Neurospora crassa OR74A: one gene and its partner. The main gene of each other region encodes a partner of the protein of the gene in region 2 in a complex. Links are inferred from orthologs where the notes say so. Each region holds a gene or a part of one and is shown on either strand. Other genes may lie near its edges.

The links.
Region 1: the proteins of NCU09025 (region 2) and NCU00660 are in contact, whole or in part, in a crystal structure (PDB 4N0H), measured with the Saccharomyces cerevisiae proteins. The link is inferred for Neurospora crassa OR74A from reciprocal best matches to the Saccharomyces cerevisiae genes PET112 and HER2. Residues at the interface, in NP_009473.2 of Saccharomyces cerevisiae: Tyr66, Ile69, Ala70, Leu71, Pro72, Gly73, Thr74, Gln75, Pro76, Val77, Arg105, His107, Phe109, Tyr110, Gly111, Pro114, Gln115, Gly116, Tyr117, Tyr123, Leu177, Asp297, Arg299, Tyr300, Met301, Pro302, Pro304, Glu305, Pro307; in NP_014021.1 of Saccharomyces cerevisiae: Val56, Leu69, Phe72, Pro75, Phe76, Arg176, Phe177, Gly178, Val179, Ile180, Gln184, Ser185, Met211, Lys212, Asp213, Pro214, Thr215, Ala291, Glu292, Ser295, Asn296, Ser298, Arg299, Tyr300, Arg304, Tyr305, Leu319, Phe320, Arg324, Asn339.

What each region holds. Positions count from the first base shown.
Region 1 is NC_026501.1:7,652,698-7,656,897, forward strand, and holds NCU00660 (glutamyl-tRNA amidotransferase), read left to right. Parts: upstream 1-1,458; 5' UTR 1,459-1,568; coding exon 1,569-1,677; intron 1,678-1,748; coding exon 1,749-3,268; 3' UTR 3,269-3,475; downstream 3,476-4,200. Other genes in the region: NCU00659 (uncharacterized protein), read right to left, coding at 3,531-4,200.
Region 2 is NC_026507.1:366,667-371,197, forward strand, and holds NCU09025 (glutamyl-tRNA(Gln) amidotransferase), read right to left. Parts: upstream 2,975-4,531; 5' UTR 2,943-2,974; coding exon 999-2,942; 3' UTR 146-998; downstream 1-145. Other genes in the region: NCU09024 (hypothetical protein), read right to left, coding at 1-32; NCU09026 (feruloyl esterase B), read right to left, coding at 3,480-4,531. UniProt on the Saccharomyces cerevisiae protein: Allows the formation of correctly charged Gln-tRNA(Gln) through the transamidation of misacylated Glu-tRNA(Gln) in the mitochondria. The reaction takes place in the presence of glutamine and ATP through an activated gamma-phospho-Glu-tRNA(Gln).

The DNA of each region.
Region 1 (4,200 bases), on a different chromosome or scaffold from region 2:
CCATCAGCAGCACAAAAGACCGCCTCAAACGAAGTGATCCCATCTACCTCATTTGCCCTCTTCTCCCTTCTCTCTTCATTTGTATCTCGATCCTCCCAGGCATTTGTTTTTCTTCTCCCTCGAAAGATGGCGGAGATCCACGCCATCTGCATCACTCTCGAAGAAATCTCCCGACGACTCAACAATATAAGCAGAATCTCTGCGTAAGTTGAATATCACTTGTAACTATGGAATTCATGCGCTAACTTTTGTAAGAAAACATGCTATTCATGTGCAGAACTGCTCAGCATGGTACAAAGTAAGTCTCTGACTACGAGTGACTTCTCGATATCTGTACGCTTGCTAATAATATCATGCTTTAGCAAAACCCGCGATTGAGGAAATGGTGGGCAACCGCTTGCTTGGCCATCACGGTGTTTGTGGTATTATAGCAAAAAGCCACGGGAGACATTCCAGCAACCCAAAGACACCAAGGCCACCGTCACAGGATCCACACTTCCCACCTCCCATGCAATATATCCCACATCCGTGCAACATACGCAGCGCGTTAACGATGGTCTCTCTTCGGATCGACGGCTTTTGAGAGAGAACAATCACAAGATTGTGATACCTGCGGTCACCCAACTCCTATCCAACATGTGCAATCTGCATCCTCACGAAGTCCTATGGGCCCGCAACACTATTTCCGCTTGGTTCGGAAGAGTGGGCTGGGAAAGTGTCGCCTGGTTGTGGTTGTTTGTTGGGGGATCACTGATTCGGAGGCCATAACATGATCAAGGAACCTGAAGATGGCCTTTTGGTCTGCTATGTGGGGAATTTAGGAAACACTACTGGCCGATTTTGCAATTCTTTCGTCGTTGATCGGCTACTCACTGGTGTTTCCCCATGTTTTTGCCTGTCACTGCTTTGATATGGTTGTTTCTCCTGGGGTTCGGTCTAAAGGGCAGCAACACCTCAACGATAACATTTACCAAATTCCCTGACTACCGGAGCAGACATCATTATCATCCATGAAATTCCTGTATGTCGGCTCCAAGGATGTATTAGCGTTCATTGGAGTTTAGATATTCACACCTTCAGTATTCTTCACAGTAAAAACAGCTAGATGTGATCAGAAGTTCACATGTCATCCCTTTAAATCCCCTGGCAGGTCTCGTGGTTCTCGGTAGGCCAGAGATGTGGAAGTTCGCTTGGAAACACACACACCACTGAAAAGGAATCACTTATGGCTATGGATCAAGCTCCTGACTGGCCAGGGACACACCCTCCATGTCTGTTAGTCTCACTAAAGCAGGAATCTATGCCCCGGAGTAGCTGACCTAGCGTAGAATAATGGGAAACCCTTGACGACTTGTCACTTCAGAGAACGTACGTACTCAACCCTAACCCTTATCAGCTTTACCCCAGCGACATAGGTATTGTCTGGAATCCCCCTCTTGAGCTTTCCACGCTCCGTCCGAATCTCTCCCGATTCCCGACCACGGTGAAGATACAGAAACATGGTGATCCAACACCGCAACCGACCCAATTGAGCGCCGAACAGAGCTGGGTCGTGACCAAGAAACCACATGTCAGCTAGAATTGGGCGGCTGCGGGGCCTATGTCTGCGCCATGTGAGCTCGACAAGGCAAACGTCACCCATCCAGCGACGCTCCCTGAACCAATTCATATCCAGAGGTACCGAACCGGGCTGTGTGTGAACTTGAAATGCACTTATACCTGCTGACAAGAGTCTTCCTGGTCTGTAGTGCAGCAACATGACCAACCCGCGCTCGAACAGCGGCAGTTCCGTCTCGCCGTCAAAGACAACATCGCCACAGTTTCCCCCAATTCCGAGGAGGAAACGCCTCTAACGACGACATGCGGCTCCAACTTCCTTGCCAACTACCGCAGCCCCTTTGAAGCCACCATCGTCAGCCAACTACGATCGCGCGGCGCTCTCTTGGTCGGCAAGACGAACCTGGATGAGTTCGGCATGGGCAGCCACTCGGTACACACGGCCTTTGGAGCTGTCGCGCAGGAGGGGGAGCACGAACAACAAGCAGTCAAGCACTCCGCGGGTGGCAGCTCAGGCGGAAGTGCCGTAGCCGTAGCCACGGGCGAAGCGGACATTGCTCTCGGCACCGACACAGGCGGCTCAGTCCGGTTGCCTGCCGGGTACACGGGCGTGGTGGGATTCAAGCCCTCGTACGGGATGCTCTCGCGCTATGGCGTGGTTCCCTATGCCAACTCGCTCGACACGGTGGGATTGCTGGCGAAGGAAGTAAGGCCCATCGCCGAGCTTATTCTTGGAGGAGCCGACAAGGTAACAAGGGGCCTCTGGGCCGAGCACGACCCGCTCGATCCCACGAGCCTCTCCCACGGGGCGCGCAGACGGTGCGCCAGCCAACGGGACTGCTACACCGGTCCCCTTCCCAAGGACCCGTACCCGCTCAAAAACCTCAAGTTTGGTCTCCCGCTCGAATACAACATTACGGAACTCTCGCCTTCCATCCGGCACAGCTGGTCCGCCGCTGCCGCCAAACTGCAATCCCTTGGCGCGCGCCTGGTCCCCGTCTCCCTGCCCTCAACCCGCCACGCCCTGTCGGCGTACTACGTCATCGCGCCCGCCGAGGCTTCGTCCAACCTGGCCAAGTATGACGGCATCCGGTACGGCACGCGCTTCACGTCTCCGACCGAGAGCGATGCCGCTATTTCGGAAGGCCCAGAAGGACGAGAAGAAGAAGAAGAAGGGATCCTCTATGCCCGCGCCCGCACCGCTGGTTTTGGGGATGAAGTTAAGCGTCGTATTCTCCTAGGCGCTTACACCCTATCCTCTGCCGCCATGGATAATTACTTTCTCAAAGCACAGAAGGTGCGTCGGCTGGTAAGGCGGGACTTTAACCGCGTCTTTGCGCTGCCCAACCCTCTTCTGGACAAGCCGGAAAGATTTGAGCTTAGCGAGTTGCCTGAGACGGTCGGGCTGGAGGATAAGTGGGGGCCTACGGAGGTGGATTTCCTGCTGTGCCCGACGGCGCCAACGACTGCGCCTAGGCTGGACGAGGTGCTGAGTGAAGAGGAGAAGGATCCGGTGAGCGCTTACATGAATGATGTGTTCACTGTGCCGGCGAGCTTGGCGGGGTTGCCGGCTATCAGTGTGCCGATGAGGGTTGAGGATAAGGAGGGGGCGGGCATGGCTGGGTTGCAGCTTATTGGGCAGTATTGGGATGATGCTAGGCTGCTGGCTGTTGCAGAGACGGTAGCTGATGTTGTCAGGGAGGAGCTATAGATGGCTCGAATTTTTGATGCGGTATAACAAAGACCCAATGGTCTTATGGGTATATTTGGGTTTGTTTACATGATTGATACCCCTGCATATCCATTATTTACGTCCATATTATTAGCAGCCCATAAGACATAGAGAGCAGTCCGAAACTCTCATACAATACCATCCATTTCCAGAAACATACCTAGGAAAAACACCAAAAGAACCCCCCCTAACAACTCCATCACCTACCTCCCTGGGTATCCGCCAACACTTCCTGTCCCACTCAGTTATGGTCAACCAAATGCCACTCAAATACCTTCTCAAACACTTCCTTCCCATTCCCCACAATCGTCTCTCCATGACACGGCACAATCGTCTCAAAATCCCACCCATCAATCCTCCGTACACTCTCGTTGAACCCTGCCCGATCCCCCCGACTCATCGCGTACCACAAAAACCTCTTAATCCCCTTGGCCTCTCCCTCGGTGTTATTCATCGCCTGGAACAACCTCCCCAGTAAACTCCCGTGCGGCTTTTCCGCCTCGGGAACCTTGGAGTACTGCTCAATGGCAGGCAGGTTGAACATGAGATCGGCCTCGATCAGGACTTTATCAGGCTTGTAGTAGAACACCAGCTCCTTGTTGGGGTGCGCGTCGACGTATTCATACTCAAAGTCGGCATCAAAGGCGTCGTCGATCTTGATACTTTTTTTGTTTTCCTTTGTAAAGACGACGGAAAAGGGCTCGTGCCCGATGCGTTCGTCGTCGGTCACCTTGGCCCGCTTTTCCGGAAGACCCTCGGGACCAATGATTTTGGCGTCGGGAAAGGCCCGCGCCCATTCGGATACAAAGATGTGGTGCTCGATATCGGTGGCGACGATGTAGCTTACTTGGCCGGAGCCGAGCGAGGAAACGCGGGAGCGGGCCGAGGGCGTGAGGGCTACGGGGGAGAAG
Region 2 (4,531 bases):
AGGAGGAGGGAGAGTAAGAAGAACTTCATCATGGCAGGCAGATGAGGACAGTGGTGAGAGGAGAGAGAAGAGTGTGCGAGACTCCCAGGGTCCGCGGAGGATGAAGGTGAGGATGGGACAAAATCACCAGAAAGTGGTGGAAGGGGAACATTAATATATGAAGCTCAACAATGAGCGTCTGATTGATTGGATCTAGACGAATACTACCTTGTTAAGCGCAACACAGGACTCATGGCAGCGGGTAAATCGCCTGGCCTGGTTCCGTTATAGTGAGAGGGGTTTGAGCCTGGTAACTTGTTTCCGAGATATTGCAATCACTGTCCATTCGCCTCCTTGAGTGTCCATCAGTGTATGGCTAAAGTGTTGTGCTTTGACCCATGGCCGGCCGTTTCTCCCCATTGTACACAACCATCTGTTTCCGAGGTCTCGTCATGCGCCAGCCAATGGACCGATTGACGACCAATGAAACTTTATTAGGGTAATCGAAAGCATCTTATGCCAGTCGTTGCCTTGTAAAGAGCGATAATCACCAATGGTAAGCTTAGAAATGGCTCCATAATACGTCGCTTGAGAATGTGGGAAGGAGGGGAAGTAGCAGTCAATGCGAGCCAAGATCGGAATGTGACGCCGCATGGCATGGAAAGGGAAGGCCGACGAGCTCGGAACGGCATGCAGTTGGTTCTTGGTCAGAACGGTCTGCAACTGTTCCGTTTGCCGAGAGTGCAAGGTGTAAAGCCGAACGTTGTTCTACCTGGGCCAGGCTTCGGTGTTATCGTCCATTGAAGCGAGCGCTTGACGTGCCTTTATAGTGACGATAGCAACAGGACCACGGCCATGGATCTCCCCTCCCCACCGCTCTTCTTCCTTGTTGTGGGTGGTAGATGGTCACGACAGGTTCGTGATCAGAAGTCCGAAAGCTTGCGTGGAGGCCAGTGGACCCGAGTCGATGACGGTACCGAGACCCCAACTACGGGATTCCCCATTTCGTGAACGCAAGATTACTCCCCCTTCTCCAGCTCAGGCAAATAGACCTCTTCAATCCTTCTTCTCAACACCCTTTCCGCCCCAGAAGCCTCCACCCTCCCCTCCGGCCCCCCTCTCATCATCTTTCCCACCAAAAACATCAGCTTTCCCTGGGGATACGCCTTCATCTTCCCTTGCTTCCACCTCAAGAACTCGCCCAATATCTTCTCCTCTCCTTGGATAACCTCATCCGCCAGTTTTGCGTATTCCTCCTCTGGCAGCTCCTTGAACCAGAGGCCGTGGGTATCAATGTAGCTGGTTGTTCCGCCTTCGGGGATCTCGCCGCGGTAGACAGCCCAGAGGAGGTCCTTGGCGACTTTGGCGGTGATGGTGCGGGAGTAGAGGTGGTGAAGGATGGCGGCTAGGGAGGAGGAGGGAACGAGGGGTGATTCGCCAAGGGGCGTCATGGCTAGGCCTTCGAGGACATCTGGATCTGAACAGGAGGAAGAGGAAGCGGAGTCGGTGAGCTTGCCGAGTTCGTGGAGACACCAGTTCGCAGCCAGGGTTGCGTGTTCCGCGCCTTCTGGAACGGCTTGCCCATCGGCGACGAGGCGTTCCTCAAGGGAATCAAGCACATTGTAGAAGTACTGAATCCTGGCTCCACCATCAAGCAACATCAACGACAAGGCATCCTTGGCGCTGAGGTTATACCTCTCCATCAACTGATCCGCCTCCTGATCCGGCAACACCCCCATCGTCTCCCTCAACCTTGCCACCAGATCCTCCCCGATCACCACCGGCCCTAGGTCCGGATCAGGCATATATCGATAATCCACCTCGCCTTCCTTCCCTCTGAGCCTTCTCGTCTCTGTGCTTCCCAAGCTCCACCCTCTCGTCTCCCCCTTCACTTCCCCGCCTTCCTCCAGTAGCTCAATCTGCCTATCCCTCTCAGCAATAATCGCGTCCTCAACCGCCTTGAAGCTACTCAAATTCTTGATCTCCGTCCTCGTGCCCAACTTCCCACTGGGATCATCCGTCCTCCTGACCGAAACATTCACATCGGCCCTTAGTCCGCCCTCCTCCAGCCCGCTCACGCACGCATCCACACTCGCCAAAACCATCTGCACCTTTCTCACCAACGCCGCCGCCGTAGCGGGGTGGTGGATTTCGGGAAGCGTGATGATCTCAATCAAGGGAACCCCGACGCGATTAAAATCCAACCACTGAACATCCCCGGGTTGTGCCGTAGTCTTGGCCGTGTCCTGCTCCATCTGCACCTGTTTGATCCCGACTTTTATCTCTTCCCCATCCTCCGCCGCGATCCCGTCCCTGGCGTAGAGCGTGATGAAGCCATCTTTGGCAAACGGCTCGTAAAACTGCGTGATCTGGTACCCGCTCGGCTGGTCCCAGTGGAAATAATGTTTCCTGTCGAACCGACTGACGGGCTGGATGGAGCAGTTGAGAGCCAAAGCGGCGCGGACGGCGGGGATCAGTGTGGCGGGCTGGAAAAGCGGTTGGGAGCCGGGGAGGGCGAGGTCGAAGGGGGCGACATGGGTGTTGGGCGGGTCGTTGAAGGACGTGGTTGCGGGAGAAAAAAGCTTGTGGGCGGTGTTGAGCTGGGCGTGGATCTCGATGCCGACGGTGAGTTCCCAGCCGGGGACTGTTTGGTTGTCGCTGCTCTTTTTCTTTTTGTGGCCCGACTTTTTGAGGGCTTTGGCTTGTTCTTTGAGTTGTTTGCGGAAGGGGGCGGCGGCGGCGGGAGAAGAGGTTGTGGCTGAGGGGTTCGCGAAGGAGGTTTCAGTCGTTAGGTAGCGGGCGTGTTGACGAGGCTGAAGCTGTCGCGAGGGGAGAGGAGCACCGCCGAGAGCTACGCGCGTATTCTTGCCGGGAAGTGCGGCGCGGGCACGAAGACAACCGGGAGAGGCAATGTGACCAGTCAGTAGATATCTACTGAGTTCGACAGTGGGGATTCGAGGCATTGTAGGTCGGATGGTGTCGGCGTCAAGCCTTCGTGTTGTGACCAAAGGCGGGATGGAGAAAAGGAAAAGAGGAATTGGGAAGGAATTGGGGATTCGGGGAATTTGGCCCGACGTGGTGCTCCCCTCATGGTGGTCATAGCTCCCAACCCGTTATCGCTATACAGGGGATCTTATCACTTACACGGGACTTGTCTCCTCCAACCCTAACCCCGCCTGTTTTCTAGACGAAGGGAACAGAGGACATGATGATTAAACACGACCATTAATATGTCAATGTATTATGAAGTTGCCAAAGAAGAAACTTAAATGATTATTAGCTATGTATTGAATCCAAGCTGGTGCTAACAAGATGCCTTTAGAACAGGCTATCCTTCCTCACCGACTCCCCAAAGCCAAGGTACTTCTCCAGGACCCTGTACACTAATGTTCCTACACAACACTTCTCCTCAACCGTCACAACCAAAACATCTCCTTTTCCTGTCCATTACCAAAAATCATTCTTACCCTTTCCATACCCCTTTTTCATCTTATCCCGCCCTAATCCACCTCAACCTCCCCCTCACCACCCTCCTCCGGCCACCTACACTCCCACACCTCCTCTCTATCCACATCCACATCCACATCCACATCCCCCCCATCCTCCATCTTTTGCACCACCTCCTCCTTCAAAACACTCTTCCCCGGCCACGCACAAACCTTTCTCTGTCTCCTCACCCCACCACTAGCATTCATCCCCGCCCTCCAACTCGTTGCCACCAACTGCCTCACCTCCCTCCCCTCCTCCACCCACTTCCTCAGCGCCACCAACGCATCATGCTCCTCACTTCCCTCGAATCCGGGCACCGACCAGACCCCAGACCCCATGACACCAGCCTGGAACGCCCCGCCAATATTCCACGGCGCATCCACCCCCGCCGGACTAGCCCAGCAGTGCTGCATCCCTGGGATCAAGAACATCTTGAAGAACTCTGTCGTTTCGTCGCCAAAGTACTGCATAGTCCGCTGGTAGTAAAGTTCCGACCCCTTAGTGGGTACTAACCCGTCTGCTAAGCCATGATACAAAATAATCTTGCCGCCGCGGGATCTATAGGCCGAAATGTCGTAGTGATCTGCTGTTGCTTGGCCCGGGTCGAGACGCTCAGCGAGGTCGACGACGGAATCGGAGTAAGAGGTGGTGTAGTCCCAGGCGGCGTTGTCGAAGAGAAAGTTACGCTGGTAGCCGATGCCAAAGGGGGAAGGGAGGCCGTTGGTGTTGCCGATGATGGCCCACCATTGGGCTTCGGAGCCGAGGGTCAGGCCCGGGTAGATGAGTTCGCCTGTGGTTTCGTGGTGGTGTGAGGAGTATACTTTGGCGAGGGTGGAGAGTTGGGGGTTGGTTAGGCAGGTTGGTGCTGGTTCGTTGGATGGGCAGAGAAGGAGGGAGGAGTTGAAGGTGCAGAGGTCGGGACGGCTGATGATGCCGTCTTGAAGACCGTCGGTTGGGTCGCATTGGCGGACGACTTCATCGGCGACGACTTGGAGCAAGGGCGTCGGGATGTAGGAGTCGATGGTGTTGGGGAGGTTGTACATGCCCAGCTGGGTGATGTAGT